2 linked regions of the Schizosaccharomyces pombe genome follow. The gene in region 1 interacts genetically with each later gene. Each region holds a gene or a part of one and is shown in the gene's direction. Other genes may lie near its edges.

Evidence for each region.
Region 2: of rga3 (region 1) and rga6, changing one enhances a phenotype caused by changing the other (phenotypic enhancement), as found in Schizosaccharomyces pombe (one study listed by BioGRID).

Annotation. Positions count from the first base shown.
Region 1 is NC_003424.3:5,119,242-5,133,956, reverse strand, and holds rga3 (Rho-type GTPase-activating protein Rga3), read left to right. Parts: upstream 1-4,923; 5' UTR 4,924-5,118; coding exon 5,119-8,028; 3' UTR 8,029-8,724; coding exon of another isoform or gene 8,725-9,177; 3' UTR 9,178-9,343; coding exon of another isoform or gene 9,344-9,565; 3' UTR 9,566-10,629; downstream 10,630-14,715. Other genes in the region: Prp19 complex subunit, ubiquitin-protein ligase E4 Prp19, read right to left, coding at 1-27, 513-617, 658-715; rRNA exonuclease Rrp17, read left to right, coding at 1,019-1,122, 1,163-1,268, 1,316-1,717; RNA polymerase I upstream activation factor complex subunit Rrn5, read left to right, coding at 2,232-3,902; protein mug108, read right to left, coding at 8,725-9,177; SPOM_SPAC29A4.22 (uncharacterized protein), read right to left, coding at 9,344-9,565; urease accessory protein ure6, read left to right, coding at 12,377-13,084; pex3 (peroxin-3 peroxisome import protein), read right to left, coding at 13,081-13,516, 13,624-14,070, 14,127-14,284. UniProt on the Schizosaccharomyces pombe protein: GTPase-activating protein for Rho-type proteins.
Region 2 is NC_003423.3:569,996-586,390, forward strand, and holds rga6 (Rho-type GTPase-activating protein Rga6), read left to right. Parts: upstream 1-11,149; 5' UTR 11,150-11,251; coding exon 11,252-13,453; 3' UTR 13,454-13,798; downstream 13,799-16,395. Other genes in the region: RNAPII degradation factor Def1, read left to right, coding at 1,066-3,957; glyceraldehyde 3-phosphate dehydrogenase Gpd3, read left to right, coding at 8,736-9,743; protein Vac8, read right to left, coding at 13,799-13,965, 14,047-14,940, 15,057-15,416, 15,576-15,696, 15,759-15,841, 15,887-15,914.

The DNA of each region.
Region 1 (14,715 bases):
GAGGTCGAGGTCTAACAAAATCAGGTACTGTTTAAAGGTTAGCAATTATCTTCGATTTGATTCGCTTTATATGTGAATGGTCAGTACAATCAAAATATAGTAAATATAAATCGCATTGGAGAGCAAAAACCAAAAAAAATCTAAAGTATTAATACATTTTCCTCAACAACTCCACATTAATTTTGATAAAGATTTGTTTTGATAAATCCGACAAGGTTGTTCTATAATTCTCTAAAAACCTTCCTAATTTCTGCCCCGAGATATTGACATGCACTAAATAGTCCACTTTTTAAGGAGAAATATAAAGCTGTAAAATTAAAAAATTTCGAGTACAAATCAATCATGCAATAAAATACATTATCAACAAAAAAAAGAAAATAAACGAGTTCTTCAACCAATATTGCAGGGTTTTACTTTCCAAACCAATTTCAGAATATTCAGTACTCCACGTATAAAAAAATAAGTGCTACTTGAAATTCTTAACCATTCAATAATAAAGAAGGAAATCTTACCCTTTACAGGAACCAAGTCCTCCAACGTGCATTCCTGTTGAGTAACAGGGTCTTTAGACGTTTCACGAATAACTTGTTCAATCAAGCGCTTCTCGTAAACATTTCCTACATTCAGTCAGACAGGGAAATTATTGTACAAACATACCACTTACACGAGAAATCACCGGTTCTTTTGGCGTTTCTCCACTGATTGAGCAAAACATTCGGCACACGTTGGTTTCTGTGTGTAATAGCTAGAGGAAAGCAATGCATAGCCAACTAATCGTTTACTGCACTATACCAATATCCGTATATAATATAAGGCAAATGCGATGCATTTTGCAAATAATTTTCTAGTTAGTAGTGCAAATGTACGTACAAGGCATAGTAGGGTTTCAGTACCTCTCGTCTTCATAAATCTACTGGACCATTACGAGACTGGATAGAATTGGAGATAATTTACTTAAAATCACTACAGATTCCCATAAATTGTCCCTCTCTTCTAGCTACTCACGAACTGTTGCATCATGGATAATACATCTCTACTAACCCGTGGAGGTGAGATTTACAGCAGGAAGAAAGGGAAGAAGCAAAGATTGGAGGAGATCGTCTTTGATAAAGAGAAGCGAAAGTATGGATATCATAAAGGGATTGCTACTAACTTGTTACAGAGAGTATTTAACTGGATTTCATAAACGCAAAGTTGAACGACGAAAGCATGCTCAAGTTCAATTGGAGCAGCAAAAACGCGAAGAACGTTTAGCGTTGAGGAAATCTGTAAGTTTTTCTAATACTATCTTGAGTATATCACTAACACTATTCAGCTCAGAGAACAGCGCAAAAGAGAACTGGCTGAGCGATTAGCATTCTCTAAAGAGTTGAATAGCTCGCTAGAAAATGATGAAGAATCTTCACAGCAAGAAGATTCCTCATCTAAATCTGACAGCGAGGAAGAGTCATCAATGGAGCCTAAAACTACTGAGTATGACGAAGATGATAAGCATGTTACGGTAGAAATTGTAGAGGACGATGATGATGAAGAAATTGCTTATCCTAAAGAAGGTTTTGTCACGCCTCGTATTTCTCCTCCACCAGATGTTCCTTTGCGTCCCCACAAGCCTAAAAATGCCGCCAAAAAGAAATTTCGGTATGAGAGCAAATTTGAACGTACACAGGACAGAAGAAAAGAAAAAATACGTCGTTTAAAGAAGAAAATAAGACGTTAAATTAGGAACTTCAAGCACACGTTGTTTGACGCATCTTGCCCTTTTTTTATATTTATGAATATGGTTGGTATAAAATGATATTTGAATTCAATTGTCCATTCGTTTTTCAGGTTGAGAATTTTTGGAAGTTAACAAACTACTTTACAAGAGATCATTACATATACGGAGTTTTTCTTGGTCTGATATATGCATTTCAGCCTTTTTCAATTTTTTGTTCACAGTTTTGATTAAGGTGTTTGTACATGCGCAAAAAATTTGTACTCAATAAGCGGTAAGCTAGATTTTAGCACGATTTATATTTTTTTATTATGTTTAAAACCCGTAAATTTTAGAGATACTCTACATTTATATATTCCTTTGGATTTTAGTATATTAGCGAAATTCACTAGAATACCGAGTTTGATCTTTGTCAGAACACAAACCACGTCTGGTAATGTGGTAAACAAAAAAATATTAAAAAGAAGACTGCAACAGCTTTTATTTCATTAGCGTTGATCATGTTCTCAATAATAACATGTCTTCTTCAATAAACGGATTAAATGAGAGTGAAGGGTCAACGCCTTTAAGCACTGCATCTATCATTGGCTCAAGTGAGCAATTGTACATGACTCATGATGAACGATACCTAGACGTCCTTCAACAATACGAAGTTGAGACTGAAAATAAGCGTGACTTTGATTTGGAAGAAGAACAATGGGGCGTTCTTAGTGGCTCTTGTGTGGATGGAACTTACTGGAGTGCAGAAGAAAAAGAACTGTTTTTTCAAGCGGTTGCTCGAAATGGGAAAAGAGATTTAGATTTGATAGCTTACTCCATTCCTTCTAAAAGCGCTGTGCAGATCGAGCGTTACATAAATGCCTTAGAGAATGAGCTACGTTGGCTTCGTAATCACGTAGACGCATCCGTGCGCAGTCAATGTTTGTTGAAATATGAAGATATACCTATTGCAATGGAAATGAGTCAGAATTGGATTGATTGGGAAGAAAAAATTGCGGAAAGACTTCTTGAGGGTTCGAATATCTCAGGGGTTGAAACTTCACACTATAATGCGCAAAGTGTCAAAAACAAAACCTCAAATGAGGATTTATTTGATACAAATGAGATGAGAAAGATTTCTGAACGGTTTTATCATTTCGATCGACAAGCGCCTTTTCCAAGCAATCCACTTTCTGCTGGCGCTACGGAGTTTTTATTACAAATCATTAAAAGCAAGTTGAAGGAATTAATCGGAACATCTATATTTTTGGCGGAGTCTAGGTTTAGGAAACTAGAGGCTAACAATGCCTTTCATAGAAAACCTATTATCAAGAATAGAGACGTTGTTCTGTCAGGCAAATTTTTACGATTTCACCGATTCAATATACCCGGATTTTGGAAGTATTTACCCACTAGACAAAAGATGAATGTTTACAAAAGAAACAAACGTCTCAAATTTCAAAATTATATACACATAATGGAATCTGATGAAAGACAATCAAAACTGAAATTAGGACGAGTCAGAGCACGGAAGACAAAAAATAACGAAAACACCATGTTTTTTGATTCTAAGGAACATTCGACAGATGAAAGCGATGGTAACCTTGGAGAACATGATGTAAAGCGCAAGGTAGATTCTGTACCCGCCGATGAGACTAGCATCAATGGTTTTAAGAAATCTGTTAATCAGGCTGAGTATCCTGATAATGCTCAAATGTTCATGGATGAAAGTGTCGCAGAAGAAAGTCTTGTGGAAATTGATGACAGCGTCGAAGCCTACGACATGATTCAATCCAAAAACTACGAAAGCTTTGTTTGGAAATATGTGCTGCATTTAACCGATGAGATGTCGACAGAGGACGCTCTTTTTGAAACTATACCACTTAGTAATTTGCTGGCTCAAAAGCGAATGAAAGACAAGTTAAAAGGTTCCGACGTGTTTACGACTCTTAAAATAACTTCCAAGAGCTTGCACAACATTGACGAACATTCCGATAGTGATGATGAAGTTCAACCTATATGTTATTATTACAAGGATCCAGTTGTTTCCCATGCCCCGGGTGCAGCTGAAGTCGTATCTGAACTTGAAAGCGGATATGTAGGGTTAATATCCTATGATTTGTCTAATCTTCCAAATAGTACAGAAGATCCTGAAAGGAAACTTGCAAAACCTGTCTCTTCTTGGGAGTTGTCACTCCCTTTAAAATAGATGTCTTCATTTTCGAACTACAGTCTTGAAGCCTTTACAAAAACATAAATTGTTTTTTAGCGCTGCCTCTGTGTTGGATAGCAATCCTTTCTTTTTATCGTCATTTTCTGCCAAGTTTGTTTTTTCCTAGAAAGAAAATTTAATACTTCCTCTTTATAGCAATCAGTTATTGCCATTTATAATGATGAGTCCCAGTGTTCACAATATTCTGAAACTTTTTTTGTTAAAAACTGATTGCTTTCTTCCGTATAATTGTCCCAATATTCGCACCACAACTATAAAAATTTTTTTTAGGAGCCTTTACTTCCTTCTTAAAAGCAATAGTTACTTAATCAATTATAGCGACCCCGCTATTTGAGATACACATTTTATAAATTCTACACTTTTTGGAAACGAGCATTTTCTCTTGTCCCTTTATTTGACGATCCGACCGTTCACGCTACAAACGTCTACAAAATTTTTTTCTCTAGAAAGCATCTCTCCTTCTGTTTACTCCTGTTGCTACCGAAATTTTTTCTTTTTTTTTGTCCTCTGTGTTTTTTGATCAGGAATGTATATATCTTTAACCATTTTTTAGCGGGTTTTTTCTAAAGGTAAAGCTATTTAAGCCAGAAAAACAGTTCATTTTCCTTTTTCCTTCTAATTTCGGCAATTTCCCTTTTCACAAATATCACCATTTTTGAGTGGAAAGAAAAGCCTAGAGAGCGGAAACGCTGCCAAACCCATTAAAATTAATTATCTGTAATATTATAATCGTATTTAATAGCTATTCATAACACCCGTTTCGTCTAAACTCCCGTAATAAACCATGTGACTTTTGGCAATTTTACGCACCATATCGTAGAACACGGCGATAATTTCCATAGTGTTTCGCTAGGCTAGGGCAAGGCAAGCCAAAGACCATAGTGCCATGTGTACGACGCATGCAAATTTTAAGGGATTAGAGTGAACGACTCGCTACTGCCGTTCTCACCGCTCCACTGGGCAATGATGCCAACAACTGCAGTAATAATTATTCCTTAGCCATTTACCAATTGTTTCGAACTTCAATCATAAAATTGGGAATATTTTCATTTACTTGATGGGAAGCTGAGGAATGAAAATAGGTACCCAAAGGAATCGTTGTGAAAATAAAAATCAACAAAGCCAAATTCATGACGCTAGATTGAAGTTCATAACGTTTAGCAGGAAATAAGAAGAGCATATATACGATAAGATGATATTTCGAAAAAGTATTTCCAAATCTCCATCAAGCAAGGGAAGCACAGTATGCTTTCGCTGCGGACAGGCATTTCAACGTAGAGAGACACCTATTTCGTTTGGGGGTCATATGTGGCATAAGGATTGCTTCTGCTGTACGAAGTGCGATAAAGGATTGGAGCACAGTGATCAAATGCTGGTGCAAACCTCTGATGGACGACCGGTGTGTAGCTCTTGCGCCCATACCTGTACAGCGTGTCGTATGAGGATCAAGGACTATGCCCTAATGTCAGGCTACGACTCCTATCACAGAGAGTGTTTTCGTTGCCATGATTGCCGAAAGCAAATAATTGACTCTAACTTTAAAAGAGATAATAGGACTATATTTTGTAATGATTGTAAACAAGTCCGTCACCCTTCCAGGTCTTCAGACGAGAGCGCTGATTATCACAATTTTGAGGTTGATGTCACGATTAAGCCCACAGAGACAAAGTCTTCAGTGGAATCTAATAAGTCTTTAAGCATTGAAATTATGTCTCCTCAAAAGCCACCATTATCACCTTTTGGTGGAAGCAGAGACCGCTTAGTTAGCGAAACACCGACTAACATGAGTCAGGCAGAAGGGGGTAATGTGCCGAACGATGGACAGGATAGTAATCTTGCGTCTAATTCTGCAGATTCGCTGCTGCCTAGTGCCAAAAATCGAAGTTTTTCCTCGTTTACGAGTTTTGAATCGCCGATGAAGTATGACGATTCTTTCTTTCCTATTTCACCTTCTATATCTCCGTTACAAAAAGTTAACAAGCAGCAACAAATTGAGTCTCCTACAGCCACATTTCCGTTAAGCAAAAATACTTGGAAGAATCGATTCCATACGTTTCACAAACAATCTTTTACTCCTGTTAACGATAGCTCTTCCTCGGACAGCTTAAAACCCACAATTAATGAGGAAGCCCTGGACGACTTTGCTGGCTCTGCTTCTCCTTATAAAACCATGTCATTGACTGACCGAGCAGAGCCAATTGTCATGAATGGACATATGCGTTCTCTTCACAATGCCACCTCTCCCTTTCGGCCTTTTTCTCCCTCTTACAGGTCGAGTGATACGCATTCACCGAGAACCCGCTCACCGAATGTCCAAACCCATAAAAAAACCTCTTCTCAGCCATCTGACCTTTCATCTTTTGCGCAGCTACTTTCACCGCCTCAGGTTCTTTCTCCCAAACCAAATGGCGGGGGCCATAAAAGTTTTCGGCATTCGCATTCTCTTTCTGAGACTTCTCAGCAAACACTCGTTCCTTCGCTGGGATCTAATGGAGAGTACCATTTACCGACAAACGATCATTCTTCAACTCCAGCACAATCAGAGCGAGATTCGGATGTTGAAGAATTGCGTGAACAGTTGGAAAATCTTACTGCTCTTACCAAAAAATTGTCCGAAAGGCTCTCAAGTTCTACGTTTGACAACTCTAAGTTTATTCGTACGGAAGATAAGGATACTGTTCGTTCGGCTAAACTTGAAATTTGTGAAAAGTTTTTTTCGTTTGCTGATGTGACAGATGATCCCACGCTGAAAGATCCGAAACATCAGGATTTGGTGGCTGCCGCCAATGCTTACATGGCAATGCTTCGTGAGAGTTACGGCACTGAAATAAACAATCTTTTGGAAAGGAGAAATGAGCTGCTTGACGATTACAATAATGTACAAAAAATTTTAAATGAATCGCTTGAAGCATCTGTACACCTAAATACCAAAAATCTCGAGTTGGCCGACTTAAACAACAATTTGGTAAAACAAATTCAGCATAGAGTACCTCCTGAAAACCAATCCAATTTGGAGCATACTATTACCACATCTTCCAAAAATACAACCAGCAGTATTAATCCACTTACTGCCGTGAGTAGCAACTCTGGGCAGTCATCAGGTCGACCTGGTCCGTTGTCACCAAATTTGAATGTGACTACGAGAATTGACATTAAGGGAAAAAAGGGAAGTATGCATTTGCAACCAAGAGATGTAAACCGTAAAGTCCCGTTCAAATCAATGCATACTAAATCAAAGTCTGCCGATCCTGTAGTAGGAAATGAAGATCGTACTCAATGTGACCATGTGTTTCATGTTAATGCCATATTCAAGCCCTCAAGGTGTTATATATGCTCGGAGAGCGTATGGGGATCTGAACTCCGCTGCTTTCATTGCTCAATTTCATGCCATTCGCGGTGTTTAAAAAGGCTGTTTGCAGAGTCGGAGCATGAGAAAACAATGAGTGAAACTGTAAGTGAAAATAGTAAATGGATGCCGGAAATGCCAACGAGGATGCCTCCTCCTGGGCCTTCACCAACGATGTTTGGACGATCGTTAGAAAATCAATTGAAAATTGAAGGGTCGGTTTTGCCTCAAGTAATTGCTATGTGCGTTTCTTGCGTGGATGCGCATGGATTGGAGGTTGAAGGTATTTATAGGATATCTGGCAGTGCTTCTCAGGTCCGAGTGTTAGTCGACGAATTTGAAAACGGGTCTATCCGAATGGAGCATTTGACTTCTGACTTGTTTGCCTGTACGTCGGTTTTGAAAACATATTTGCATCGCTTACCGGAACCAGTTATACCTGGCACTCAATACGAGGAGTTGTTGGAAGCGGAAAAAATCGAAAAGGAAGAGGAAAAAATTGAACGGGTAGTGGAAGTAATGAAAACGCTTCATCCTGCACATTTGAGCGTATTTCGATTTTTGATTGCACATTTGGGTCGTGTATGCAAGCACGCGGAGAAAAATTTGATGAACTCGAAAAATGTCTCTACAGTATTTGCACCTACTTTAATGCGAGATAAGGTGAATCGGTTTGATTTACAGCATGCTACCAAAAAGAGTACGGCTCTTCAGTTTATGCTTGATAACGTGGATAAGATTCTTCATAATCTGTAGCTTGTTTTATGAATAATGATTAAAATATCGGGGAACTTGTATTTTTCTAGGGAAGAAGGAACTTTACGATAATAATAACCACTTGTGTTCCAAACTTCAATAAGGAATACTTTTCGAAGAAATAATGAGACTTTTTTTACACCTCTTTTTTTTAATGAAAAAAGGAAAACAAAGATATTAGCATAACACTCTTACATTTACGACTGAACTATTCAAACTGGGTAATACAGGATGTACATTATGACAAGCAGGCAAGCACACGCACGCTCATCAGATACAAATAAATACGCACGCAAATGGAGATTGTATAAAGATATTTGCCATTAAGCATTGCGAGATGCAAAATAAGGAAAATATAATGCTAATTTGATAAAAAAAAAAGAAAACAAACTCTTTTTAACGATACTAAACAGAACTCAACTCGATTTGGTTCGAGTATTTCGTTTCTCATAACTTGAACATAAACACAACATAAACAACTCATCAAAGACACATACATACACAAACACTACGGTCGTGCCATCATGTCTCGAAATCTCAAAGAATGGTATGGGGAACATGGTGAGGGATGAATGGCAGTGAACGTGAAAGGGGATGGATGGCATAATTAAATGTAATCTGCAACATTGTCAGTCAGGGTATGACTAATCAAAAAATAAAAATTACAAGGGAGTAAGAAAAAAAAAACAAAAGCAATCAAATAGTACTACCTAAAAGGCTTATATCCCTATCAAGATAAGGATCGTTTTGCTCTTCCTCATCAAGTTGTTCCTCGTTATTGTTTGCATTTTTCTTTTGTGTTCCATTAGCGCTCTTGGAGCGTGATTTCTTTCCTCCAAAGATGCTGCCAAGACCGCCAAGAGACGAGAAATTAACACGGCCAGTATGTTGACTGGAACGGTTGCGAGTAGACTCGGACCTGGAGTCATCGTCGCCGATATCTTCCTGAGTGGCATGGTAGCTGGAGCTCTCCATGTCATCCTCCTCTTCCTGGACCAAAGGTCCGGCCTCTGGATATTCATTCATGTATTCGTTGAATGAATGAACGCCCATCGAAGGATGGCGTTGTCTACCGGAGAAGGAGTGTTTGTCAACATGATGACCATGGGTTTCTTGAGTTTGATCACTAGAAGTAAAACGATTTGCCATTGCGGTGGATTTGAAGAAATTCGATTAGTCAATTAGTATTGGATGAAATTCAATTTCAAATTGATTTGGATTTGGATTGGATTGGACTGTCAATAACAATTTTCAACTCAATTGGTTATTGTTTGTTTTGTTATTGTTGTTGTTAGATTGTCAGTGGGTGGGTAATTTAGCTTGACTCGCTGATGATCAATAAGGGTGGATATGAATACGATTCGGTATTTGTTATTACGAAGGATGAAATATATATGTACTGTATTTTGGGAATGGAATTTTCACTCTTAGTGCCCAACCTTCTATTTATCTCCTTGCTGTGGCCAAATGTCATACGTATTGGGTTGCTACATTGAATGTAAGTGTGCCTTACTCGTCCTTTCACCCGCAACTCCATTGTTATCCAGCATCGTCATCCACTGCAATCGTGGCGCCAACCTCTTCACTTCCACCACCCATATAGCATATTTCCGTGAGTGTGTACCTCGGCGAGATCCGTTAAGTGGGTTTACGAAACAGGCCAAGAGGAGGAGGAGGGTTTGGTGATAATGCAATGGAGCACACAAGTAAGCAGGACGAAGTATGATTGATGGATGGATGAAGGAAAAGAAGAGAAAATGGCAGGTTGGTTTAGAAGAGGCTGTTCATCCCGTGGTATCGCAGTCTCAAGTATGGCACGGAAAACAAGCGTCGTTTTAATTGTCCAGGAGAAAAACAAAAAGGAAACAAGACTTTAGAGGGTCAGTCTTTTTTTTATGTCTTTTCTATTTTTGCTTTATGTTGTTGTTTTATATTCTTTCTTTCTTTTTTCTGCCTTCTTGACAATTAATTGATTTCCGCGGCAAGCTTAGTCAGTCTATAATACGGTGTTGTGCATCAGAGATGTTATGGCATTGCGTCATGATCGACACCCTTCCTAATCCCTTTTTTCTCCGCCTTCGCTTCCCCACACTTGGAGTCACAAGGCTGAGTCGATGCTACCTGAAAAGATGGGGTAATGGCATGACGAAAAAGACTGCAGGAAGAGAGGGGTGGGTGAAAGAAAGGGATTCAAACGAGACATCAATAATGGATGGAAGAAATAAAAACATAAAAGAAAAAAGAAAAAAAAAAGAAAGAAAAAGTTAAAGAAGATGAAAATTTTTGTTTGTTTGTCTCAGAACTAAAGTTTTTTTTGCTCAATTTTCTGTTCAATTTCTTTGATTCGCATTTTGTTTTGTTCCACTTTTTCTTTTTTTTTTGTCTTTGTTCCACCATTGGTTTTCTTTATCCATCTCTGTCCATTGTTGGTAATCTTGCTTTATGATTATAGGAGTCCTTTGTTTTCTCTCTCTCTTTTTTTTTTTATTTCTTTGTATGAATTGCCTTTTTTTTGACTAGCGTTCTTTGTCATACATGTCATCTTGAAATAGATGGTTTTGATTGTTTCTTGTTTTCAATAACTTTTTTTTTTTTTTTTCTGCTCTCTTTCTCTTTTCATTTTTTTTTTGGTCAGCGTGAGATACTGGCTTTCATTGAGCTACAATAAATAGTTTTGACTTTTTATTTCTATTTCTATTTCTTCTTTATTTTCCTGCTGTCTTTCTCTTCTCGCATACACAAAAGAGACTCAAACATACACACACACATACTCGGAGAGTTTCTCTCTCTCTCTCTCTCTTTTTTTTAGAGTTTCCTTTTTGCTCACTTGTTTTTCTTTGATCGTCGTTCTTTACGACATCTTTGTATTATAACGAAAATAACCTTTATTTGGACTTTCTTTTTATTCACTGTGGATGAGCTCACTGTGTTGTTCCATGCACAAATTTGTCACTTTCCATGTGAATTTTTCGTGGGGTTGTTGTAAACATTCATGAATTCCTTCGTTTGCTTTTTTTTTAAACAATTTTTAATTTTTATTTACTGTTTCTAATGCTGACATTTATTTGCCTTTTTTATTTCATTGCAAAACATTATATATGTATTCATAGTAAAAACTGAAGTGAAAGTCTATTACAGTCATTTAAATAGATTAGCTCATCTGTATTAAAATTAATAAAAGCATTGCAATTTATATTATAAAGTATGCTTAAAGCATTGTCTCGTGAGAAAGTCCAGTAGGAATTACTTAATTGAGCAGCGCCTTTTCTACTTTACTTTGTATACTATATGTTATTGTTTTACAGTTATCAAAACTTGCTTTTCCTTTCCTGAAATAACTGAGGTCAGTAAATTTAATGCTTCCAAACATCTTCCTTTGTATCCTCTTTTCAGTACATTCATTTATGAAGAAAGTTGTAATTACTGCAGTAAAAGGTGTTTCCCAAATTACAATTCCCACACTCGTGCTTTATTTTGCTAATTCACTTAGCACTCATACTTAGAAATCGTTATTTTGAAAGTACCATTGTAGAACTTAATAACACCACTATAATGGACTATCTAAACGTTGTGTAATTTTTACATTCGTTCGTCCTATGTTCAGTAAAAAATCTTTGCATCATTGACTTGGAAAATGAAAAGCTCATCCATGCTTCTCTTCCCTTTCTCATAGACTCTTGTTTGCCCTTTCCATTATTTTTAAATGTTTATTTATTAAATAGTGATCACTAGTGAATGTCAATAATAAGGAGTTGCATGATTTTCATCCCTATATTGTTTCCAGTAACGATGGATTGATTGTATACTGCAGGTGCAGGATCTTTGATGATAAGAAGAAACTGGATCTGCATGAGTGCAAAAATTTTTCTCTGCTTAGTCCTTCATTTGACCATACACACGATTCATATTTAATATTTAACCACCTCTTGTCGTTCATTTTGCATTTTCTTTTCTACGATACCTTTTCTCGTATTTTACAAATTATCATCCAAATACCAGGCGGTTAAAAACCGTTTTCTCAACCTTTTGATGCTGTATAGACATACCAAAAAATAGCGTTCCATCATTTTTTATTCTTGTCGCACCGTTTCGTTGAGTTGTAGGCTCGATAATTACTGAGAGAATCGGGTTTAAAAGTTTACTTTCACAACTTCCTAAACTCCTCTTTTCTTCTCTTTTTTTGAATACTAAAAAGCGTTTTATATACTAGATATGCACACACATTTCGCAAAAGTAAACACCCAGGGATAGCTTTTTTTTCTATTCTCCAAAACACTTAGATCCAACCTTACTACTACTGATTATAGTTGGTGGTTTTTTGTTTTCACTTTCTAATTTCATTACAATCATGACTGATTCGCAAACGGAAACACACTTGTCGCTAATTCTTTCAGACACTGCGTTTCCTCTGTCATCTTTTTCTTATTCGTATGGGTTAGAGTCGTATTTGTCTCATCAGCAGGTGAGAGACGTCAATGCATTTTTCAACTTTTTACCATTGTCCCTCAATTCAGTGCTACATACCAATTTGCCAACTGTCAAAGCAGCTTGGGAGTCACCGCAACAATATTCCGAAATCGAAGACTTTTTTGAAAGCACACAGACATGCACAATTGCCCAAAAGGTCTCCACCATGCAGGGTAAATCTTTGTTAAATATTTGGACAAAATCACTCTCCTTTTTCGTTACATCAACCGATGTCTTCAAATACTTGGATGAGTACGAAAGAAGAGTTCGTAGTAAAAAGGCACTCGGTCATTTCCCAGTGGTTTGGGGTGTGGTATGTAGAGCCTTGGGATTATCGTTAGAAAGGACATGTTATCTGTTCTTATTGGGGCATGCAAAATCGATTTGCTCAGCAGCTGTTCGCTTAGATGTTTTGACCTCCTTCCAGTACGTTTCCACTTTGGCTCATCCTCAAACCGAAAGTTTACTTAGAGATTCGTCGCAACTAGCTTTGAACATGCAACTAGAGGACACTGCTCAGTCATGGTATACGCTGGACCTTTGGCAGGGTAGACACAGTTTGTTATATAGTAGAATATTTAATAGTTAACAATCATCAAAACTGGAAAATACGATTGCCATGTAGCGATTTACATCTGAAACCATTTGTAGAGATTGAAAAAATTGCTCTTGGAAGGGTGCTTCGAATACGTTTTCGGAAATTTTAGTAAACGTCGTCAAAATTTTTGCCAAACGAATACCTTCCTGAGGTATGCTAGGTAAATAAGTCAACATGTGTTCATTCAAAGCGATCAGCTCATTCTTCATAACGATCGATGCATCCATTTGGGTTGCAAAATCCTCTAGTTCCAAAACACGATATAGCAAATTTCCTGTAACTATGTACTGTTTCGGGATTTCAGCTAACAGTACCTCTTTGTTTCCGTCGATAGAAAACTGATAGTTGTTTACAAATACTTCGACCACACGAGTCGTCAATGCTTCAATCAATTTGCGGTCCACTATATCCGTCGGCGATACCCTAGTTCGAAGTGTTAGCACTAAAAAATTAAGATGAAAGATAAAACACATATATATTAACGCCAATCGGATTCAAACATTTACCGCCAACGCACTATCAACACATACTCTTCAAAAGTCAAAGTAACAGCTAATTGTACTTGTTGAATCAACTCATCAAGTTGGTTATTCAACAAGATATACGCAATTCCCGTAAAAACAGCCGGGTCTTCATCGGATCCCGATGGTCGTAGCGTATTAGAAGGATCAAATTCCTTGACCATCTGTTCTTTAAAAGCTTCCCGTCCCAATACCGTAAGGGCAAGTTTACAGAGTAGGTTACACTGTGCCAAAACTGCTAAGGTCGTGAACATTCGAACCAAGCTCATGAATTTTAGTTGATTCCAAAGTAGTATTTTTTCCTCAGCACTCACTTCCGACATCCTTGTTTCTCGTAACTCTTGAATAATCGGAAGTAAAGGGATCCTCCGAATTATCTCATCCTTCAATATATGAAATGTGGAAATTGCGCTCGTAGCGCCATTAGACTGAACAGTATTGAAGGCTTCAACATATCTTATTTAAGTGCATCTAATTAGCTTCAATTCCGTTAAGTAATAGAAGACACTTACTTGGACTTGGAATTTCGTGTTTCCATAAATTCCATAAAAGCATTCCTTATACATGTATCCGCGCAATAAAATCCCAGAACTGGAATAGAGCTACCCAAAATGAAGTTACAGCATTTTCTTGATACAGCGTTCAAATGTTTTTCAAACGATTTTAGCATTTCTATTCGCCTGATCTAGTGTCCCGTCCAGCTAGTGAAGAGACGTTTGTTGCACTTTCAATATATTAGGATTGCAACGAATTCTTCAATGTAAACAGGGCACTTACGTTGGTGTTAACAGCAAAAATTTTAGATGTGATGTTGGTTGGATATAGTAGGAAAATCATATGCTGCCCATAATCCCTCAAGTTGATAGGCATCTAAAGTATTTGTCTCTAATAAACTAACTTATACTGAGAAATAGTCACCTAGGTAAAAAATTATTTTCCTTCTATAGCCCGTGAACTTTGAATTGTTGTTTACTTCAGAAACAATACAAAAATAATGAAAGCGAAAACACATTTTTGGTTGGATTGAGTATATTGATCATTTTTTTAATAAATAAACATAAAAATGAATTAATTTTGAGTGTTTTCATAATGCTACAATCA
Region 2 (16,395 bases), on another chromosome or scaffold:
TAATAATGCTTTTAGAATTTATCTTAATATAACTAGGCGATTATTCAGCTGTACAATTTAGTTTTTTTGAATAAATTATAATGTTATTTTATCAATATTCTATGTTTTTATAACTCTACAATTAAATAGATATATGCTTTTTAATAGAGCATTCTAACAAGCTTTGGTGGTTTAGTGGTATAATGAATCGTTGCCATCGATTCGACCCGGGTTCGATTCCCGGCCAAAGCAATGTTTCTTGTTTTTATTGTTAATTTAATATTAGCAGGCTTCATATTTATTTTTTTAGATAAAGGGCATCACGTTTATAAGTGTGGTTCACTTGAACCCAACAAAGTGAATGAAGAGCTTCGAATGTTACTGAAGCCGCGTAATTAGAACGGATGGATTATTACTTGAAGCAGTAATTAAAGTTTTCATAAATTGACCAACTGAATACCCGATATTGCATTGCAAATTTCTAAACATACCAACGTGTTAGGAATCTGTAATAGCAAAGCATGGAACGAAAGGTGTTTAGTCAACTTGAATTTAGCTAAACGAATTGCACATCTTTTAACAGTATCGAAGAAATTGGGCAATAGAAAAGTTAATACAATGAGCTCTACTTTCATCATATTTTCATGTATTCAGGCAAGCAGCTAACTAGCTATTGTCTTAAGAGCAATAAAGATACACAACGGTAAATCGTTAAATACAATAGTAAACTGCACTCCACTACTATATAAATCAAGCTTTTAGAAAAGGTAATCGCAAAAATGAAGAAAAAGTAAAGTAAAATTTAAACAATAACATTGTTCTTTATAACGTTATAAGTTTTTCTATGTATAAAAATTTCAAGGAAAGCTATAGTTTGCACTTTAGCGCATTCACTACCACCTTGCTCTGGTATAGGCAATTTCCATTTAAGCAAAAGCACTATGCTGCACGACACCAAAACGCAGCCAGAACCACTACCCTTAAATAACACGAAAAATCTTGCATATCGTCTTGAAGCACGAATACACGTGCCTTGTCGATTTTCAAGACCTGTATTAATTTTTGTAAAGAAAAGTAGAATCAAAAATGAGTGAGAATAAAAAGTTTCGGCCAAAGAAGGTCGGAAATACCGAACAAGTTTCAGAAAAGCAACACACAGATACAGCGTTAAATATATCGCAAGATAATAAAACTTCATCCTCTTCCGCCAAGAGAGGAGCGAAGGGAAGGCGAGGCACCAAAGGAAAATCTGGCCCGGCAAATTCGTCTCAGACTAGTAATATAGAGGGATCAAATGCGCTTGAGCTCGAATTTGATCGTGATTCGCAGTTAAGCGTATTGCAAGAGCTGTTTCCTAGCTGGACGATTGATGATTTAAGTTTTGCTTTAGAAGAAGCGGACCGGGATTTGGAACTGACCATATTGCATATTACTGAAGGTCACGCCTCCAAATGGGGTGAAGTTAAAAAGAAGCCAATCCCTAAAACAAAGTCCAAACCAACAAGTCATGCTCCAGTTTCCGATAATGTCTCTTCCACCTTTCGTAATGCTACACGTAAATCAAAGAAACCTTCCGCTTCTAAGGATACTTCTCGGGGGGTTCGAAAATCAAAAGCAGGAGCTCCCTCAGATCCTTCTTCCGTTCATGCACCATCCTCTTTAGAAAAGCCTGCTGGTACTGGCGATCTTCCTTCCTCAGAAATTTCTACCAAAGCTCCTGCATCAACGACAGTGTCTTCTTCCGTTGATCCTGGTACTATTAATGAAGATTCCTCAATGAAAGATCATACTACATCTAATGAACAAGCTTCAGTTTTAACATCGGCTAATACCGCTGCTTCAACAAATACGAACGGCACCGCAGGCGGTACTTCGGCCTCAGCAAAGTCGACCAGTGCGGCTGATCAGGCTGTTGCATCTTCAAAGCCTATAAAGAAGGCTTGGGCTTCAGTTGCAAAGTCGAAGAAAAAGGTCACTCCCGCTCCCGCTCCCGCTCCCGAATCCGAACCTTCTAAACCCTCTATCGCTCCTTCTCAACCCTCTAAAACTAATGTTTCCGCTGCTTACGAAAAACCTGCTGAACTGTCATCCTCATCTGTTCCTTTCCCTCACAAATCCCAGGACTCTGCAACTCCCGCAAATGTTGAAACGACCCCCTCCACAGCTACCTCAGCTCCCAAAAAGAGTACTGCCCCATTTGCCATAAATGCAGTCAAGCCCGCTCCTGGGCTTTCCAACATCTCTTCTGCTTCCCTACCTAAGCCCTCCTTTGCGAAGCAAGCCGCTGTTGGCTCTCAAAGCTCTACAACTAGTATGACTACTGCTCGATTACTTTCTGATAGATTCCCCGTCGTTATGCCTGTTGCTAATACTGCTGCTATTCCCGAAAAGGTTCAAGTGCGTTTCGGAAGCTTGACACTTGGGGGTGAGGACAAAAAATCGACAAAGTCTTCTTCAGACAACATAGCACAGTCTGGACCAAGAAGTTCCTATTTTCCTAAAAAGACAGTTTCACCAAAGCCAGAGGCAAAAAAAGAGGCGAGCAAAGTTGCTGAATCCACCAAAATCCCAAAGAAACAACACACTTCAGCATATGAAAGCCGTGCTCCACAATCGAAGGTTCCCGAAAACTTGAAGGAATCTCATGTTAACGAGACACCATATCGTGGTTTACACGATGTAAATTTACCGGCCAGTGGAAACGCCTCTTCTGTCTCGGCCATCCCTCCTCAAGTATCAGCCCAAACGACTATACCCGCTGCATCCACAAGTGCTACAAGTGGCCCGGTGGTTGGTAAACAAAGTGCCGGATATGGCGGTATTTATTCTCCTGCTACACATGGAATTTCCCCTCAACCATATGCTGGTGCTAGTCTTATTCCTCCGTCTACCGGAGCTGCTTTTAACAACGAAACTGCATCTTCAAATGCTGGGGAGACAACTGCACTTCCATATTCTTCTAGATTTATGAATCCTGTGGAAAACCGCTCCGCCAATAGCCCATTCGACAATTTTCAACACATCGACCATAGTACTGAATTGGGATATGCTTCAAATACTTCTCAACAATATCAACAGACTAGTCATCCAGCATACACTACTATGTCTCCTATTGAATATGGTCAAGCTGCACCAGCAGCTCATTACTATAATGAGCGTAATCAATACTCACAATATGATAATGTCGCTGGTAGTGCGTCGAATACACCAGATGTGCACTCGGTAATGCATAACAAGGTTGCATCTTCTAATGCTACTTCTCTACCTGCTGCTGGAACAGCGACTCCTAGCCCTGTTGTTTCTCAACAACAGCCCCAACCTTATGCATTTCCTCCAATGTATCCTATTCCTTATGTGTCTTATGGATACGGTACGATGCCTTACAATAATAACAAGTTTGGACAGCCCCAGCAAGGATACATGTCTCAGAGCGGCTTTAATGATTTCCCTCCCATCTTTGGTGGACACAGCAACGTGTACAACAGACAACAGCCTGGCAATGTAAGTGGTATGAGTGGAACACAAACTAGCAACCCAATTAATAATGCCACTGCAAATACTAGCGGCATGACTGAGAAAGCGGCTGGACATCGTGACTCTGTGATTGGAAATGGAGGCGTAACCGGGGCGAACAGCATGTCAAGTACTTTGGGTGGTTTGTCTTCCATGTCAGGGATGGGACGTGCGGCTCCTGGTATGTTTATGGGTAATGTTGGAAGTTTTGAAAACCTTAGTGCCAATGCGGCCTCTCCTTATGGCTTACCTCCTCAACAAACGCCATTGACCAATGCTGCTACTCAGCAGACAACCTCTTTTCAAAGCAATGCTAACAAGGTCAACAATGCAAACAGCCAACCCGCTGGGTTTCCGTTCAACTCTGGAGCATCTACCAATGCAGGTAGTAATGGATTAGGAGGCTATAATGCATACAACCAGTCATTTATAAACCGACCAGGAGGTTGGTACGGTAATGCTTAAATTGAACTTATGATCAAAAAGTTTGATAACGTAGAAGTTGGAAAATGCTTTTTATAAGGATTCAAAAATAGGCTAAAAATAATTGCGGACAAGATGCTATTAATGGAAGGGTAAAATCGATTTTATTGGGACAATCGAATTTATGAAGTTTTTCAATATATATATGTGTGTGATTTATATGGCTATGTGGTCACATGTGTTTTCTGTTTGATAGTGCTTAATTATGTAGTTTGAAATGTTGCTTGTTCATATCATAACATATCATACCACGCCGTAATGTTGCCATTATATGGTAATTCCTTGTATGTTCATAGAGTATTTTTTTATTGCATTATTAAAACAAACTGGCGTTTTGGAAGAGGGAAAGGGTAAATAAAGATTTGATGTTAAGGTATTTGTAGGTGTGGGTAAGCAATGCGAAGTGGGATAACTAGTTTCAAGTAATGATTATTATATTTCCAAAAGTCAAGTGCTAATGAAACACGTTTAATCAGTTGGCAATTTAGGGGGGTGGTTCACTCGGCATTCCTATTTTAAACAATTTTTGACGGCAAATGTTAAGCGAATTCGCTAAAGCAAAGTGTAAAAAAAAAAAAGCTTCGCTAGTAATATATGCCACACTTCAGTCAACAACACTACGTCAACCCTATACGCTAAGTCTACTGAATAGAAAAACTTGATACTTTTATTTACATTGAAATGAAGAGCAAATTTGTATAATACGTATTATTGATTCTAGAAATATAGCAAATTGAAACATCCAAATTTAGCAAAACAGCATGTCGCTGTTGTAAAATTCTCATGAAAAAATAGAATGTCTAACCTTCACTACTGGCAAGATTCGTTCATGTAGATGTAGTTGAAGAAGAGACAGTGTCATACACAAACGTAGAAAAAGTTCTGAAAAGGAAAAAGACTCCTAGTAGATTATAATTCAAATCAAATCAAACCAATTAAATTCAATAGATCGATGTCTTGAAACATTAATTCCTATAAGGTTGAAAATAGTAGCAATATAACGCAAAAATAGCGAGTCGTAATAGCAAGTAAAATGGTAGTCATTATAAAGGGTTAACTGTATTTCAAGTATAAAGAACGGAGAAAGTTGGAGCAATGGCAATAACACATCGAGGAGTAATTTAGGAAAGTAGTGAGAAAGATGTTAGAAAGGAAATTTAGTAATTTGTAAGTAATGATTTCAGAACTTGGAACGTGAAAGGGAAAAAGATATTTTCATCATAAAGAAAAATTTGCCCATCGTGAAATAGAGAAATAGTGAGAAGAAAACCACCACCGAAATAGCGAGACCCGCAGTATGTTACTTCACGAGTCTCGCTATTTTAGGATTGCATAGGTTATCGGATGGAATCCAGTAAACAAATGGGTAAGGAAAAGTGCGATCAATGATGAGTGGGTTGGGTTACAAATCAATATAGTCAGGTGAAATTAATTCGTTTCTCGATATAAAAGCAATTGAGAAAGGAATTGGATAAAATTTACAGAGAATTAAAAAATGGAGACAAGAAATAAGTGAAATGGGAGTGAACGCTCTTGTAAAAAAGCTATTGAGACAAGTGAAACGGTGAGAGAATGCGTTGACAAATGTGAAAGAAAAGAGAAAAGGGAATGAATATTTATAACAAAAAAAGGTAACAGGATTATCGATGAATTTTGGGGAAAATTTATGTTGAATTGCATGACTTTTTAGAAATCACGCCTCGAATACCGTTAGACATATCATGGTAAACATGTGATTTAGGAATTGGCACATGTAAATGAGGTTGTTGGGTAGAGAGCGGATTTGAATGGTGGTAGATAATTTAGGGTAAATTTGGGATGGATAGAGTAAATGTGAAAATAGTATGTAGGATGGCGGGGGATGCGTGCGAAAGAAAAAGAACGATGCGAAATGAATTGTAAAGTATGTGACTTGGGATGATGCGAAAAAAAAAGAGTCTGGAATAAAATTTGAAGAAGAGAAGAAATACAGTAGGTGGGAGTGCAATGAATTGAATTGGAAGCGAGGAAGCGAACAAAATCGATGGATAACAAGTGAATGAACAACAAAGTGAATTTAGTTTAAAGTCAATTGCTTTGTTGAAAATCAATTTCCTCTGTTTTATCAAGTGTGCGAAGGACAAAGGGAGTAAGAAAGATTCAAAAAAAAAAAAGAAAAGAAAAAGAGGAATTCCTTTTATGAGACATCCAGTTTGTTTGCGAGAACGCCAAGAACTCAAGCGAATATGGAGAGACGACGGTGAAACACGGTATGTTGCATAGTGTAGTGCGGGGTGGATTGCAAGGAGAATGGGTAAATTAGCAAGCGAGCTGGACCCCATTACTGTGATGCATGAGGTAACGCAATGTGCTAAAATGTTTTGGAAAGAATGACACTCTACGTTAGGATAGTGCACGTTGTTGACACTGCTCGTTATGGAGGACAAGGAAGAAACTAGTTCGGCCGTTTGAAGGGAATGGGAATGGGAATTGAATGAAGAAAGAATGGATTGAAGTAGTCAATTGATTAAAAACTCATATTTTTTTGTGTTACTCATTGACCTTTATGAAGACAACAATTCTGGGTTTCCATTGCTTACAGTGTGTTTCCATAGAGCAAAGTTCTTTTTTGATGGCTTTGTTTTTACGTTGCATTACTGTGTTATTCCTCACTCTCTGTATGTGAGTCTCGCGCTGTTTCAGCTGCTTCCTCCTGCTTCCTTCGGTTCCTTTTCCTTTCTTATCGGACGGTGGCCCGCCAAAATTAATTTCGCCTACATAAAAAGTGACGCAATAGAAACTCTCGGAACCAGTATGGACTTGAGGATGAGCGCATCCCGGACCTTGAAAGGATCCTCGTCGATGGTTGATTCGTCAGCTCATTCACATAAGGTTTCTCTAGAAGGTGAATTAGGGTTCTTTCAATCCGAATCCGCCAACCATCACAAGACCTTGTAACCGCCCCGGAAACTCAAATTGTCCCAACTGCCGATCAATTTTTTCCGAAGAAACAGCTTACGATTAACCGAAGGAACGTCCTGGGCAGTCAAGCGCAGAGGAACATAGTGCAAAGCGTCGTAGTTCAGTATAGTCGGACAGCAGAGTATTGTTGAACTCGATAAAGTAGGGGGGGAGAGAGAGAGAGAAAAAGGAGTGGAAAGTGGTAGTAGGTAAATGAGAGATGTCAATAGAAAGCAAAAACTTTATACAATAACAATCTCAACATCAACGATTTTCCTTTTCCAACTGAATCTCTTTTCCAAACTGTGCACTGTAAACAATTGTTCTATATCTTCTCCTTGTTATTCTATGTCTTCTCCTTCATGTTCCACGTCTAACCCGCTCCCTTCCTACCTTTTCGCTACCCTCCTACCCTCCTACCCTCCTCCATCCTCCCTCACAAACAGATGATGTTAACGAGACTTTGCACCTCGTTATTCCCGAGGAGCCGCTGGGATGCCATGAGCCTTGCTAATAGCCCTGTTAGCACGGTCAAACAAAATCATGCAATTCAATGCAAGAATCGTCAGCCTAACAACAGCTAACTGGGCCAACCCTCTAAACATTCCATTCCATCTAGGCATTGGAAACGCCATTCCAAGGGCGGATTGATGGATGATGGAAGGGACGAGACTGACACACACAGCAGATATACTCGATGACTATTAGTGAAGTGAGTCGATGAATAGTGAAGTAAATGAACATTTTTATAGAATCAATAGAAATGGATTGAATCCAATTGCATTCGAAATTTCACAGTTGACTTGGATTTACCACTTGTCTCATTTCTCCCACTTGTCCTCTTGATTACTATGCTATGCTATGCTATGCTATTCTCTTCTCTTCTTCTTTCCTCTACACTCATTGTTTACATTTCTTTTTCTTTTCCACCGCCATCCCAACTCATCCATTCCATGCCATTCCATCCTTGCCTCTCTCGTTCCTGTCAAGCGAGGCGAGGGAAAGGTCAACGCAATGCGTCGATTGTTGTATGATTATGAGCCAAAAATATTCGCATGGGAAGTTATCTAGAAGGCCGCTAATTTCATTATCCGATCTGCCAAGTACCGAACACGGAAATCGCCGCTTACGATACCGTCGTTGGCATGACAACTCTAGCGTAAACACATACAATATAAATAGGAGTGGTAGGCCAGTCTGCTTCTTTGTAGTATCAAGAAATCAGCAATAGTACTTGTTTGGTTTTGAGAAATAGCAATCGAATTAATTAGGTATGTGATGCGCTGTGGCATTGGCAAAGCATTGGCTTGGTGAGACATGTGACATGTGTCAAACACCTGCCAAGAGGGAAAAATAGATTGAGGAAAAGGAAGGGATATTTTCTTTTGATATTCTCTTTTAGTTGAAAAAGATGGATTTTGAGCGATGAATTGAAATGAAAATGGTCAGTGAGATTGCCAAGAGAAGAGGCTCTCTGATTTTACTTGACATGACGAAAACATGTCATATCCAGTATGGTGAAATTGTACAACGAAGTCGTGATAAGATTCGTTAGTTTCCGTTTCTTTCGGTAAAGAAGGCTTTATTTTTCGCTTGACGGCAGTTTGGTCAGAAATTAAAATAGACTTGCCGAAAGCGACAAAGCTGCTGTTTTTAGTATACTTTCTTTTCTATTCTTCTCTCAATAATGATATCTTTTCTTTTAATGACGCTCATCGTTTCTTCTTCTTCTTCTCTTCGCTTTCTTCCCTCTCTCGCTTCTTTTTGCCTTTTTCTCTCCTCTTTGATCTCTTCTTCTTACTAACTCTTTTCAGATAACAATGGCAATTCCTAAAGTTGGTATCAACGGTTTCGGTCGTATTGGCCGTATCGTCCTCCGTAACGCCATCCTCACTGGCAAGATCCAAGTTGTCGCTGTCAACGATCCTTTCATCGATCTTGACTACATGGCATATATGTTCAAGTACGACTCTACCCACGGTCGCTTTGAGGGCTCCGTTGAGACCAAGGGTGGCAAGCTTGTCATCGACGGTCACTCCATCGATGTCCACAACGAGCGTGACCCCGCCAACATCAAGTGGTCTGCCTCTGGTGCTGAGTACGTTATTGAGTCCACTGGTGTCTTCACTACCAAGGAGACTGCCTCTGCTCACTTGAAGGGTGGTGCCAAGCGTGTCATCATCTCTGCTCCTTCCAAGGATGCTCCCATGTTCGTCGTCGGTGTTAACTTGGAGAAGTTCAACCCCTCCGAGAAGGTTATCTCCAACGCCTCTTGCACCACCAACTGTTTGGCTCCCCTTGCCAAGGTCATCAACGACACCTTCGGTATTGAAGAGGGTCTCATGACCACTGTTCACGCTACCACTGCCACCCAAAAGACCGTTGACGGTCCCTCTAAGAAGGACTGGCGTGGTGGTCGTGGCGCCAGCGCCAACATCATCCCCTCCTCCACTGGTGCCGCCAAGGCCGTCGGTAAGGTTATTCCCGCTCTTAACGGTAAGCTTACCGGTATGGCTTTCCGTGTCCCTACCCCCGATGTTTCCGTTGTTGACTTGACCGTCAAGTTGGCCAAGCCTACCAACTACGAGGACATCAAGGCTGCTATCAAGGCTGCCTCTGAGGGTCCCATGAAGGGTGTGTTGGGTTACACCGAGGACTCTGTTGTCTCCACCGACTTCTGTGGTGACAACCACTCCTCCATCTTCGATGCCTCTGCCGGTATCCAACTTTCTCCTCAATTCGTCAAGCTCGTCTCTTGGTACGATAACGAATGGGGTTACTCCCACCGTGTTGTTGACTTGGTTGCCTACACTGCTTCCAAGGATTAGATTGCTTCTTTCGATTTATTCCGTCGTCAATCTATATCTCTCTAATCAGCCGTTGTTAAACTCCAAGCTATTCAACTGAACATGCGTTCGGTTTTGGGGGGTCTTACATATGTGCGAACTTTTGGTTTTTTATTCTTATGCTTGTTTTCCCCCTTTTCCTTTTCTGGGGTTTGCTACGATAATGATAGACATGTATGAGATTTTCCTCTTTTATTCCACGTTATCATTTTGATTGCGCTCCTAGGGCGATCTCTATAGCTGACGACCTTTCTACGAAATAGATTAAGATATAATTTTAAATGAATTGTTTTTTCTTCACTTGTTTTTAATGTGTAAAAAATCCGTAAAGTATGTGGTGTATGAAAATTTTGATTTGAAATGTGGTAGTTTATTGGAGGTAAAAAAGGTAGACTGATTTATAAAGCATTATATAGTTATCATAGTTGCTTGTTAGCATTCTATTACCGTTTGCATTTGAGATAATTGTTTTCGTCTTGATGATAGATATTCGCTAAGATGTTTCCATAAACTTGGCCCACGCTTTTTTGGGTGAAGTAAATAATTTTTCAGTCCTTTTGAGGGCCTCTGCTGCCTATCTTTACTGCCCCTATTTGCAAGTTTCTAGAATGGAAGTGTAAGTCAAACGATAAGAAAAATTATATATTAATAGATAGCAATTTAAATTTAGCATTTTCATTCTTAGTGTTCGTTCACTCCACTTTCCAGATCAATCTCAGACCATCAAGTATGATGATGAAAGCGAGTGTTCCATTTAGGCGGTTCTCGCAACTCTTAATGTTTGATACTTAGAGCTGTTTGTGCTTCAGAAAATTATTCAAAAAATTTCATGCTTGCATTTGATTCTTTTCTGGATAACAGCTAATCCTGTTTTTTGTATTTTGTCCTTTGGTTTTTTGATACCGCATTGCTAGTCACATGTACCCTCATAAAAAATACAGTTATATCTAAGCGAGAAACAATCGCTCGATTGCGAGGCTCATCTATGGAACTGTTTATACTTGTGTCTCATGTTCCAATAGCTTGAAAGTGTGTTTAAGCATGAGATTGTTATTTAAATTATCAATTCATATAGTAACAATATCTGCTTTGGTGCCAAACATTTGAATTCCTTACGAACTAATAATAAGATTGCTTCTCAGATTTCTCAGTGGAATACTTCCATTAGTAACTGCACCATGGGAGTTTGAAAGCTGCTGTCTTTCCTTAAATTACAATAGTCCGTGTAGAAGATGAGTTTTTGGTTCGTTCAATATGTGACTACTTGTTCACCTATCTTTCGCTTCGGCTCGTACTCTACTTTTCAACGCCTGCTACTTGGCTGAACCTCTTAGTAAGTAACGGATGTAGAACGGTTCTTACCAAAGCCAACGTCTCTCTAATCGACATTTATTTCAAAATTCTATCAGTGGAGAGTATATATTGAGGTTTATAGCTTTTACGGGCCTCGAAAACCTCGTGTAGTAAAATTTGAAATTGTTGGGAGAAGTATGACCTTAAATCCTTCGACTCTCAACAATGGAACTCTTGGGGACCTGAAAGAGCACAAGGATGTCGTCTTGTCTAGCAATGCGCAGACCGATGAGAAACGTTTCGAAGAACCGTCGCTAGAGGTGGGAGGATCGTTAGCGAAAGTGGAAAATGGCCTTTCCACATCAATTTCATCATCTGCAAGCAATTTGGAGGGACAGCAAGCTCCTTTCTTTACTAAGCAAAATTCGTGCTTGTCACGCTTTCGTGAGCTAGCTCAGACTTACAACATACACGAAATTAATCTCGAGGAGTACGTTTCCCAGATAAAAGAGGTTAAACAATCTCTGTACTCCGACGATAGCGTATTTAATGAATCCAAAAGTTCTTCACCTCCAGATGCTCATACTGATAAATATTTCACTCCATGTGGATCCCCTACTAAGCTGATACACTCGACACTATTGGAAGAGAGAGATACTCCGTCCTCCCTAGAACATGTTAGCTTTTACCTTCAAGAAAGCGCAGTATCAGAAGTTCGGTTTGATAAACCTTCAAACAATGGTCCTCTAGGGAGGTCATCCCTAAATCTAAGCTCCCTTTCACACGAGTTACAAACTTCACAAGATTCTCCCTCCTTGTCGGCTACGAATCAACTATCCTCATCAGATACGTTGGAACCTCTCCAATACCCACCATCTTCATTTGGCTCTCAAAGACAGTTCAATGCCTCTCAAGATTCTCCAAAGCGAAGCCCTTCCAAGGGATCTTGGTCCTCTATCCTCCGCCGCCCCTCTCTTACTTACTCTCCAAAACGTCAGTCCACTGGCTTGCATCGTCGTTCTTTAACGAATTATTTTAAATTTCCTCATCGTAATGCACATCAACATAATGCAATTGCTCATAATCCTTCCGTATTTGGTAAACCTATCGGCGATTTAACGTCAGATCCCACAAATCTTTGCAAATTTACATTTCCCACTCCTGAATGTGCACCTCCTTCTTTGTTGCTCCCACATATTTTTGCTCAATGCGTACATTTTCTATCTTTAAATGCTTTGCATGTACCGGGAATTTTCCGCATTAGTGGTTCTGGTCCCGTAATAAAAGCAATCACAGAATACTTTTATTCTCCACCTCATTTTTGGCTTGATGAAACATCAGAAATTTTTAAGCGTATTGGATTTCCAAGTTATATCGATATAGCAGCTGTCTTAAAACGGTACATTATGTTATTGCCAGGTGGCCTTTTTACGCATAAAGATATATTGAATCTTTTAGTACCATTATACGTTGATTCAAGTAGAGTAAAGGTTCCTATAGACATCCGGAATGAAATGGCCGCTCTTTGCTTTTCACAAATAGATTCTTACGTGCGCTTTTCTATCCTTTGCTCTCTACTAGCATTATTGCATCAAATAGCTACACGGACTCAAGAGTTGGAAAATGGAATGGAAAATACCAAAGACTCTACTTTGATGAAGCCGGAAGCCCTTGGTATTATTTTTGGTCCTTTATTGTTGGGTAACTCTTCTACTGATCTTTCGAAATCTTGTCCTTCTGGAAATGTGAATGACCTTATGAGATTTGAAACCGAAAAGGCTAGAGTTGAAGCCAAGATTGTAGAGGGACTGATTATTCACTGGCCAGAGGTACTACTTAAAATCAATTCTCTCGACATACCCAATTGTTTTTCTGATGTTGGGTTAACTGACCAAGTTGCTATTTTTACTCCTGCAGTCCCGAAAGAAGATTCTCCAGAACAGATACCTGAAAATGTGAATGCATCTGAGGAAAGTTATCCTAATGTTAAGCATATCTCGAAGCTTCCTTTAATCAATGACTCTTCCGATAATGAATCGGGTAACCAAGAAAATGATGATGCTGTAGCAAATGAGAGTACCAAAGTCGTTGTTGACAATCAACAGCCCCAGCCTAAGATTTCCACCGTTTCTGATACTGCTGTTCCTTCCATGAGTTTTGCTAATAACATTTCATCGCGGTCGGTTATTTCAGCTGCTACAGATAGTAAACCGTCAACTCGCACATCACCGCCATTCGTGAACAATACAAAACCGATCGTCGCAAAGTCACCGGTCACTGTTACTGCTTCTTCGGAAACCAATAAAAAATCGCAGAAGATTAATAAAAAGGCATCTCCAAGGGTCAGTTTGTGGACAAAACTGTTTGGTAAATTCCGATCAAACAAGAAGAAATCTTAAGAAAGGATTTCTGTTTTCGGTGTCATTTATTTATCATATATTACAACCATTTGTTTGCTCTTAAAGTTTAGGTTCATTTTGATATTTTTTGGTTTCATAGTAGTATTTATTAAGATATGCATGTTAGTTTTTCCATGTCACATGTTTTATTCAGGTGTTGAAGGGATAAGTTTATTATTTGGAATCAACTACGGACGAACTTTTATCATCTTCTAAAAAACTAATCATTAATAAAATGTGATTCATGTCATTAAGTCAAATAGACTTCCGAACTGGCAAACGGGGTTGAGACGGTAAAAATATAAAGAGATGAAGGGTAATATAATGTGCCAATAAAAATAAAAATTAAGAATCTGTGTCCTGTTCAATTAAATGCAATGCCCGGCCAGATAATAATATAACATCGCCTTCACCATCTTCATACTCTCCATTATTAGCATCTCTAGCAACTATGTCATTAAGTAATTCGATGATATCGTCGCTAGATTGTATAAATGCAGTTAAACGTGGAACTATAATGAGTTAGCTAAAGAATATATTCCGTATATCGTGTGTAGACAAAATCGTCAATAAATTCTCTAAAAAAAACTTACCACCAGCCTCTAGTAATTGTACAATGGTCCAAGCAGCAATATGGGCAAAAGTAGAATCTTCACTACTTAAAAACCTGACCAGATAACCATGAATGCCACCAGCTGGAGAATCCCAACACTCTATGAACCGGCTATAATCATCGACATTAGAAGAAAGATTACCCAGAGCAGCCGCAGAGTTGCCTTGGACTTCAATCGACATAGAGTCTGTCAATGGGATTAAAACATTACAAATACCAAAGTTAAGAAGATACGACTTGAATTCGTCACTTAAAGCAAGAACGGCTAGACAGGCAGTCATTTCACTTTGCACGCTAACAGGAGCATCTAAAATTAAACAGCGAAGTTTTTGAATAGCATTAGCTTCGATAATAGCGCGCTTATTTCTCTCCGAGCTAGCAGCTAAGTTTCGTAAGGTAGAAACAGCATGACACTGTATTTCTTCATTTTCCGTACAAGATAATAAATCCACCAACGGACGAAGAAAACCAGCATCAATTATCGGAGACTCATTTAAAGGATGTATAGAAATGTTACGGATACAGGCAACGGAAGCAAGTATTAAAGGAAGGTAGGAAGAACGAAGCAATCTTAATAAAGAGGGTAGGGCATTGCTTTGAACAATTTCTATTTGATAACGCTCATCAGAGGCAAGGTTTCTTAATGCTAAAGCAGCTTGGCACTGGACTTTAGGACTTGAAGTATCCATTAATTGAATAAGAGAACGAACGAGTTTCGGCTCACTTTGGGCAAGTCTTTTACGGTGTACTGCATCAACAGCAATATTACTAATAGAAGTAGTACAATAGTATTGAACGTCAGTGTCAGAGCTAGGAAGCAAAGATACTAGCACTGGGATAGTACCAGCGCTGACAAGTTGCTGTCGATTTTCATCTAGTATCATAGTTAGTTGATATCCATAGATTATGAGACAACCACTAATTGAAACTTTTTGCTCAAAACAAAGCTCAATAGATTAACAAATAATTAGCGACAAATGTATAACTTACATGAGTGAGTCATGTTTAACAATGCTCCAGTTGCATTTCTTTGAACTCTAATGTCCTTGCTTTTGGCAAGACGGGTAAGAGGGCCCAAGGCACCAGAATGAGCTATTTTTGATTTATTTTCGTCAAGGGTAGCTAAATTAGTAATGCAACCGACAGCATTGCATTGGACTTCAACGTGAGGAGACATCATTTGACGAATTAAAAGGTCTAATCCATTCAATTTGACGACCAAGGCCTTATTCTCGGCATTTACAGCAAGGTTTCCTAAAGCAACGCTGGCAGCTCTCTGTATTTCAGCATCAGGACTCTGGAGTAAAAACAAGACGGGCTCTATAGTTTCACGATCAACTTCTCGAACATCTAAAAAAAGTGTGTTAGTCAATCACTGTAAAAAAAACAAAGAAAGAAAGTTGATAACACAATATATATATTCTTTCCGTTTTGTTAAATCAAGACCTCATTGTTCATTTCCGAAGTTGGGAATTGTTTAAACCAAAACTATTGTTTTTATGTCATTACCTTTTTCAGTAATTTCTGCAAACGCAAGCGCTGCTGAACGCTGTAGATCAAGGTTATCGGAGTATGCCAAAATGGTTAAAGCACGTAAGGGCTCCTCGCTGTAAAAGTTGACTTCATTTCTCTACAACAAGATAACGTTAGTCAAGAGAAGGTAAGAATTTAAAGTAATCGACATTCACTAACATCTTCAAGAAAGCTTAATAAATCCGCAACAGCTTCCCTCTCCCGATCGGCCAAAAGAGGCTCATACTGTTCATCTTTTGATTCTATGTATTTGTTAATAAGTTTTTGATTTAAAGAAGCACTCATACTCTCACAACAAGACAAGCAATTGCCCATCTGACTTTGTTTATATGATTGTTTAGTGTTTGGAGGAAGTTAAGTGACAGTAAAAGCAAATTGCAAGGACAGTTAGCAAAACAGGGTTGCTGTGTTATCCATTTATAACGTTACTTACAGTGTACAATAAACAAACTTATAAAATCCCAAAACCTCGCAAAGCTAGTTAACGAAGTGGAGTTTCGGAGAATTAAAATGTAAACAAGACAAGTGCGAAGAGTATTTTTCCTATAGAGTGAAAATAAAAGATATTGTTCATTTAAATAAAGACTAAAATATAATTTTTAAATAAACACCCGGTTGTTTTGGACCATAGTTGATTTTGATAACTCGGCATGACCTGTGCTAGCAAATTGGCACATTCCCTCTGCACGGCTCAAATCAGACTCGCTTAGTTGATTTATTTTCATTCTTTCTAAGTGACTAACTCTGTATCAAAAGAACTACTGCTAACATCAGAAGTATCAACAGACTGTGATTT